2 linked regions of the Xenopus tropicalis genome follow. The main gene of each other region encodes a partner of the protein of the gene in region 2 in a complex. Links are inferred from orthologs where the notes say so. Each region holds a gene or a part of one and is shown on either strand. Other genes may lie near its edges.

The links.
Region 1: the proteins of ranbp9 (region 2) and gid4 are in contact, whole or in part, in a cryo-EM structure (PDB 7NSC), measured with the Homo sapiens proteins. The link is inferred for Xenopus tropicalis from reciprocal best matches to the Homo sapiens genes RANBP9 and GID4. Residues at the interface, in NP_005484.2 of Homo sapiens: Ser223, Lys224, Gly225, Arg226, Asp227, Gly228, Tyr229, Met230, Gly256, Asp257, Thr274, Phe275, Thr276, Thr277; in NP_076957.3 of Homo sapiens: Leu187, Arg189, Asp194, Glu195, Asn216, Asp218.

What each region holds. Positions count from the first base shown.
Region 1 is NC_030685.2:15,291,564-15,295,907, forward strand, and holds the start of gid4 (glucose-induced degradation protein 4 homolog), read right to left. Parts: upstream 2,835-4,344; 5' UTR 2,674-2,834; coding exon 2,497-2,673; intron 1-2,496. Other genes in the region: atpaf2 (ATP synthase mitochondrial F1 complex assembly factor 2 precursor), read left to right, coding at 3,183-3,279.
Region 2 is NC_030682.2:91,825,537-91,829,355, reverse strand, and holds part of ranbp9 (ran-binding protein 9), read left to right. Parts: intron 1-2,968; coding exon 2,969-3,136; intron 3,137-3,819. UniProt on the Homo sapiens protein: May act as scaffolding protein, and as adapter protein to couple membrane receptors to intracellular signaling pathways. Acts as a mediator of cell spreading and actin cytoskeleton rearrangement.

The sequences.
Region 1 (4,344 bases), on a different chromosome or scaffold from region 2:
CTCTGTGCAGGGAGAGAGCAATAGAAACCCTGGCTCAGCTGAAAGCAAAGGCTGCCCGTGGGCAGAGGCAGGAGCGCCGGCACATTAGGTCACGTTAGGTCACAGCACTGGCAGACTGTTAGGGCTCGGCGACACAAATAAGGGCAAGAGAGAGACAGATAAAGGTGGTACCAGCCCGGCACAATCCCCCCCCTGGCACCCGTATTCTCTCCCCGATTATGCCCTGCGTGGATGCAAATCCCTCCTTGTTTAATTCTTTTGCTGGGCCGAGGGCAGCGATCCAGGAGGGAGTAGGGAGCTCTCCCAGGGTGCCGCTCACACTATATATGCCTATTTATGGCCGGCTACTTCCATAGCCAAATCAGAGGTGAGCGCCGCTAGGAAAGGGGCCCCGTGCCCGACTCTGAGTAAGGGCCAAACACTTAGATTAATAGGAGGCAATGAATTAAAGCAGAGAATATGCCATATGACAGTGGACAACCTAAGCTGAGGGGGGGGGGGGGGGGGGGAGTTGTAAGGGCTGTAAGTTGTACCCGTCGAAAATAAAAGCTTATAGACATTTAGTTTTCGAGATATTAGCAGTTTTAACACTGTGTTATAATGAATATGACACAGTGCCCCATTCTGTTCTTCCCACTGGCTGCAGCCGGCAGAGGAAAGTTCTGGGGATGTCTCTGTGCTCAGAACCGACCAGAGAAATGTCACATGACTCTTCCCCGCTCACTAACTTCACTTGCAGCAGGGAGTGCAGGAACCTGTGTGGGCTGCAGTGTATAGGAGTAGCGGCTGTGCCCAGGCTATGCCACCATTCTGTACCAGCAGGCACATATAATACTCAGTACCAGCAGGCACATATAATACTCAGTACCAGCAGGCAGATATAATACTCAGTACCAGCAGGCAGATATAATACTCTGTACCAGCAGGCACATATAATACTCAGTACCAGCAGGCACATATAATACTCAGTACCAGCAGGCACATATAATACTCAGTACCAGCAGGCACATATAATACTCAGTACCAGCAGGCAGATATAATACTCAGTACCAGCAGGCAGATATAATACTCTGTACCAGCAGGCAGATATAATACTCTGTACCAGCAGGCAGATATAATACTCTGTACCAGCAGGCAGATATAATACTCTGTACCAGCAGGCAGATATAATACTCTGTACCAGCAGGCAGATATAATACTCTCTCACACCGAGCTTTAGTGTAAAATTTACTGAAGCATTTCCCCCCCCCAAACCAACTCCATCCACCAATCACACGCTCTCTAGAACTGCGGCTCCCATATCTACCTCCACAGGAAATGTAGAGAAGAGATTCCTTGCCCTCTCTATACTCTCCCCTGTTACTGTAACCCACAAGGGTGCTACTACTCTCCTGTCCCCCCAAGTAATACCTTCATGGCAGGTTCCCATGACTCTCCTTCCCCCACCTACTCTGCCATACTCTCCCTATTCCTTTCCAGTTAGGGTTCCACCATTGTGCTCACTGTACAAGGGGGAGACTATTGTTGGCGCTCACTGTACAAGGGGGAGACTATTGTTGGCGCTCACTGTACAAGGGGGAGACTATTGCTGGCGCTCACTGTACAAGGGGGAGACTATTGCTGGCGCTCACTGTACAAGGGGGAGACTATTGTTGGCGCTCACTGTACAAGGGGGAGACTATTGTTGGCGCTCACTGTACAAGGGGGAGACTATTGTTGTGCTCACTGTACAAGGGGGAGACTATTACTGGCGCTCACTGTACAAGGGGGAGACTATTGCTGGCGCTCACTGTACAAGGGGGAGACTATTGTTGGCGCTCACTGTACAAGGGGGAGACTATTGTTGGCGCTCACTGTACAAGGGGGAGACTATTGTTGGCGCTCACTGTACAAGGGGGAGACTATTGTTGGCGCTCACTGTACAAGGGGGAGACTATTGTTGGCGCTCACTGTACAAGGGGGAGACTATTGTTGGCGCTCACTGTACAAGGGGGAGACTATTGTTGGCGCTCACTGTACAAGGGGGAGACTATTGTTGGCGCTCACTGTACAAGGGGGAGACTATTGTTGGCGCTCACTTACCCAGCAGCCCTGGCTTCTCTGCTCTCAGTCCCAACATGATTCACAGCAGAACCCTATGACTCTCCTACCCCCTCCCTCCCTCCCTGCCATAACTCACCCCCCTACCTCCCAAGCCAGGGCCCCAGTGCCTACATGTCCTGCTCCGGCCACCCTTCCCTGGCTAGGGGTCCCTCCCATAACCCTTCCTACCCCACTCCCATTGCCCCTCTATTCCCATCATTCTACCCTATCCCTGCTCCTCTCTTGCCCCTTCACCTGCTCTCCCCCAATAAACCTCTTGTTAAACAACCCCCCCCCCCCCCCAGCCCCTCTACCCAGGATTCCCTGCCGCACATCCCCCCCCTGTGCCCACACACACACACACACACACACACACACACTAGCCAGGCTGCAGTCGGCCCCGCCGGGCCTCACCTGAAGCACAACTTCCACATCGTACGAGTTGCCTTTGCTCTTCTGGTGGCCCCGGAACTTGGAGCCGCTGTAGAGGAGGGTGGTGGCCACGCCGGGCTGCTGGGTGTTGATGGGAGGAGGAGGAATAAGAGAGGAGTATCCGGAGGCCGCGCTGTTGGCCTCGGTACGGACCGGCATATCCAGGGCCGAGCCCCTCTCCCGCTGAGGCGGCTCCACACTAGGGCTCGGCCACTTCTCCACTCCCGGCCCGAGCACCTGGGCCTCTCCAGCACCGCGCAGTCCGATTGGCTGAACGAAAGGCCGCCCACCGCGCAGCACCGCCCCCAATTGGCTAAAGCGGTGACTCGGCGCCGCCGGGAAATGTAGTCTAGCTAAAACTGACCAATGGAGACCAAGAAGGGCTCGGATTGGCTGCTTGCCGGACGTGACGACAAAGAACAAGTCAGGGTCACCAAGATGGCTGCGCCCGGGTGAGCAGGCTTTCTGTACATAGGGGCTGGGACTGGCAGCGTGTTCTCTCTGGGTGTAATGAGCGCTGAGCCTTGTGGGAAGCCTTGGGGAGAGACCATTTCACAGCGGCAGAGGGGTGGTCGCTAATAAATATCTACTGATAATCCTTTGCCCCTCGGCAGGTGCTGATGGGAGAGAGTCCTGAGCAGAACCACTGACCCCTCCCTTACTATACCATGCTGCCCAGTCTGCTAGCGATCACTGCCCGGAGGCTGCGTGTATTCCCGGCGGCACTTTGCGCTCAGACGCGTCTCTATGCAGCCGCTGCTACCGGTAAGTGGCACCAGGGAGTGGAAAGGGAGAAAAGGGGATTTGCCAGTGCATTATACTCCTGTAAATATAAAAGCAATATGTCATTAAGGGATATATATATATCATGCTGTGTAAAAAGTGGAGTAAAACATCACCGGTGATGTTGTTTATAGCAGCCAATCAGATGCTTTGGTTTTCTAACTGTTGAAATGTAATTGCTGATTGGTTCCCCAGGGCAACATCACTGGTAATGTTTCACTCCACTTTTTACACAGCATGATAAATATACCCCTAAATATTCCATTTTCTGCTCATTTAAACCCTACTAGTCCCGCCCATGGGTTCCACTTCCAGCCCTACAGGGAACAGTAGCAGATCTAGTATAAACGGAGAGCTGTGATTGGCTGCCTGCCTCCTACTGAGCTTTTGGCAGAGACCATTAGGGCATGGCATTATGGGGGCCCATCAGACACATGGCGACACAAGGATGAGAACTGATTGAATGGGAAAGTGTCTTGGTGGGGGGTAGAAATCCTGCTGAAGAAAGGGGGCATTTTTAAAGCTAACAATAATCCCCCCCCCCCCATTTTTTTAAATTCCACCTCTCCAGTCTATACCATTCCTTTAGCTCTAATGTTACCTATTCCCCCAATTCAGTGTAGCTCCTTCCAAATGTCCTTCTCCAGAGCCCCCACTTATGCTGGACTTTTGTGCCTTCTCTCTTACTGCCCCCTCCGTGTTACTGCCCCCTCCGTGTTACTGCCCCCTCCGTGTTACTGCCCCCTCCGTGTTACTGCCCCCTCCGTGTTACTGCCCCCTCCGTGTTACTGCCCCCTCCGTGTTACTGCCCCCTCCGTGTTACTGCCCCCTCCGTGTTACTGCCCCCTCCGTGTTACTGCCCCCTTGGCCAGCTGCCACATCCGCACCCATTCTCTGCCCTTTAGCAGTGCAGTTGCCCTGAGGGGAAATGTATTACTGCTTGGATAGTGTGGGTATGAACCCAGTAGAATTCTGCATTTGGTACTGAGGCATCAGTCCAATGTCTTACTCTATTATTTATTGATTCAATTATTTTTTTTTTATGTT
Region 2 (3,819 bases):
AGGCAGGTCCATAAGAGTAGAAGGCTCTGCCTAGGATCCAACCAACTACTTTGCTCTGTCTCTTTATTTGCCTCATTAGCCCTTAGGAGCAGTTACCATGGAAATGGTTTCTATAACACCTAGGCAGTTTAAAGGAACAGTAACACCAAAAAATGAAAGTGTATAAAAGTAACTAAAATATAATGTGCTGCTGCCCTGCACTGGTAAAAGTTGTGTGTTTACTGAAAGTCTACTATAATTTATAGAAATAAGCTGCTATGTAGCCATGGAGGCAGCCATTCAAAGGAGAAAAGGCACAGGCACATAGCAAATAACAGATAAAACACTATTGTATTCTACATAACTTATCTGTTATCTGCTATGTAACCTGTGCCTTTTCTCCTTTATTCCAGCTTGAATGGCTGCCCCCGTGGCTACACAGCAGCTTATTATATAAATTATAGTAGTGTTACTGTAGCAAACACACCAGTTTTACCAGTGCAGGGCAACAGTGCATTATATTTTTATTACTTTAAAGCTCTTTCCTTTTTTAGTGTTACTGTTCCTTTAATTCACAAATGTTACATAGATGCAGGTGTCCGAGTCACTTAAAAGGAGCATTTCTACTTAGAATTCATCTTTAGTATCATGCAGACAGTTGTATTTGAAAGGGGTGGTTTAGTTTAAGTTAGCTATTCCTAGCAACTTTGCAATTGGTCTTTATTTTTTATTTAATTCTTAAATTATCTGCCTTCCTCTTCTACATCTTTCCAGTTTTAAATGGGTGTCATTGGCACTGGCAGTCAGAAAATGTTTGCTCTGTGGGGATATGATTTTTATTATTATTGTGACGTTTTATTTCTTGTCTTTTTACTCATGCCGTATCCTATTCATATTTCAGTCTCTTCAAATAACCAAAAAAAAATAAAAAATGAAAACCAAATGCAGATTGTCTTAAAATACCAATGTCGATATCATACTAAAAGTTAAGACCATTTGTAATTGGTTATTATCCTATATATTTATTTTTACAGGAATTATTATATAATTATTGCAAGCTGTAGGGCTGGTTACTAATTTTTCTTGATGCTTGTTTCTTATTCTTATTGTCATTTATTGTCTGTGTCGGTACTTGTGGTCTAAAAGCACTAGTTTTAGTGTGTATGCCATACATATATATTAGCCAAGTGCTGGAGAAGAATGAACTTCATATTAATCATATTTAGTAGGTATATATTAAAAAGGACCTGATCAAACAATATAAATTTGCTCTTTTGAGCACATTTGCAGTTTATTCTTTTATTTTCAATGATTAACAATATACAGGTATGGGATCCATTATCTGGAAACCCATTATGCAGAAAGCTCCAAATTTCGGGAAAGTCATCTTTCATAGAGTCCATTTTAATAAAATAATTAAAGTATTTTAAAAATAATTTCCCTTTTCTCTGTAATAATTAAACAGTGCCTTTAATACATATAAATATATATAATGAATCCTTATTGGAGGCAAAACAATCCTGTTCGGTTTACCTAATGTTTAAATTATTTTTTGGTAGACTTAAGGTATGGGGATTCAAATTAGGGAAAGATCCCTTATCCGGAAGACCCTAGATCCCAAGCATACCTGTACCATACCTATATAAGCAGTTTTCGACTGCTAATAACAGACTTTTAGGTTAGCAGTTCCCTAAGGTTATCTGACTATGCAGGTGCTGACTCCTACAGATGCCACCTTGAGAAGTGCTTTCCATGCCTGCTTTGGATTTTAATGTTGTTCTTACATTGCTTCTCTCCTTTCGTTTGACTTCCTAATAGCTTTCCCCTGGATATCGGCTCCTGTCAGTGATATGGACGGGATGCACTCCATGTCTGCCATGTCATACAGATAACTTTAGAGTATTATGCACAGCATTGGACAGACAATTTGAGCAAGACCTCCTTGAACCACATTAGAAGGGAACACTTGTTCACTCTCTATGTTGTGTCCCTGGTGAGGAGGGAAGAGTCCTATCCATGCTTTATTTATTACAAAAACTTGTTAGATACTATGCTTTAATTGTCATTTACATGTAGTTTTTGGAACATTCCCAAGCTGGTGCTGGAAAGTCAGGCAAATGACTCTGATTGGGGTGGTTTAGCCCTGTGGACCCCACATTGCATGCTAGGTGATATTAGGTAAATTATATCTTACTTTTGCACAGCAAAAGAATATGTAACTCAAAGCAACTTTCTATTATACGTTCATTACAAATGTTCATTGGTTTTATATATATGTGTAGATGCAATTGCTGTTAAAAAGCACTACCAGTTCTCACTGTTTATATTCTTTAAAAGACTTTAAAGAAAACAGACTCCTGACTGACTTACATTGAAAATCATTAACTAAAGTATATTGGAAAGTTGCTGAGAATAATCATTCATTATGCAAAAAAAACCAAAACAAAACAAGACCCCATTAACGCACAGTGTTTTATCAATCATCAATAGCCATTCTATATACAGTATTGTATATTTAATACTTTTTTTCTGCATGAGATTAAAGCATGTGAAGAAGAAATGAATCTCACTTACAAAATGGGTATTTATGGCTGGGAAGTTTGCAAAATGAAATCAAAAGATGGTAAAATGTTAAGACTTTCACAGAAATTGATGCTGCACAGCAGTTTAGGATTCCTGTGTAAGCAGCTTTCAGTACTACTCTGCATGATTAAGCATCCACTCTTTACCACTTAGGTACTGGTCATGCAGGGGTCATTCTTGCTGAATTTGTTTAACAAGTAATTCTGTCTGACTTAAGTGACCCTTGTAGAGCAAGAGACACACGCAAGATACACTAGCAAGGATTAACCAAGGAGGAACATGTCCTTAAATCTGACTGTGAATGTTTTACTTACTGCAAATTTTTTTTACTAAGATTCATGTATTTTATTGATGTTCTTACAGTGTTGTCTTACACTGATTTCATATCTATCTTATGCGCCCTAAGGTTGGGACAAGCATTCCTATGGTTACCACGGTGATGATGGGCATTCGTTCTGTTCCTCTGGCACTGGACAGCCATATGGGCCAACGTTCACAACTGGGGATGTCATCGGCTGTTGTGTCAACCTGATTGACAACACCTGCTTCTATACCAAGAATGGACACAGTTTAGGTAACACTCTGCATAGGAAACTGTAAATGCTTTTTCCTTTAGTAGCACAAGTAGAAATAATATGTGAGAGAAGGTTGGAGTTTAAAGGAAAAGTCATCGCACAAGACCCCCTTTTATTACAATTCCACTTAACATTTAATTTTTCATAAATGTTAATAACACACAATAGTGAACATTTCTGTCACATTGGGGTCTTATAATAATATCATTCATTGGCTACTACACCTTAGATAATCCTTCTTATCTCTCTCACTGAATGCAGTAAGGATAATGGCAAACATGACATTTTCTACACTCATGTAAAAAAAGCACTGAGGGCAGGATTTCAGTACAGAAACACAAAGCTGTGCCCCATGGAGTAATGCAGTGTGTGTTATTATCCTTACTGCACCATTGCTTGGAAAGGCTGTGGCTGATTTAACAGTGAGTTAAGGAGGCATTAAAATTATGAAAATGCCATGTTTACCATAAGCTTTTATTTTAGTGAGCCTTTCAGATAAGGCAGGGCAGTTTGAACTACTGGCACATGGCAGGGGTGCAAGTGCTATACTGCGCTTCTCAGTGCTCACTTACCAAGAACTTGTGCCCAAGGAAATACTGCTATCTACACCAAGTCCCTACTCAGCAATCCAGTGCTCAGTGCAGAGAGCAGCGTCAGAAGGCGCTCTGCGATGCTTCCTAAC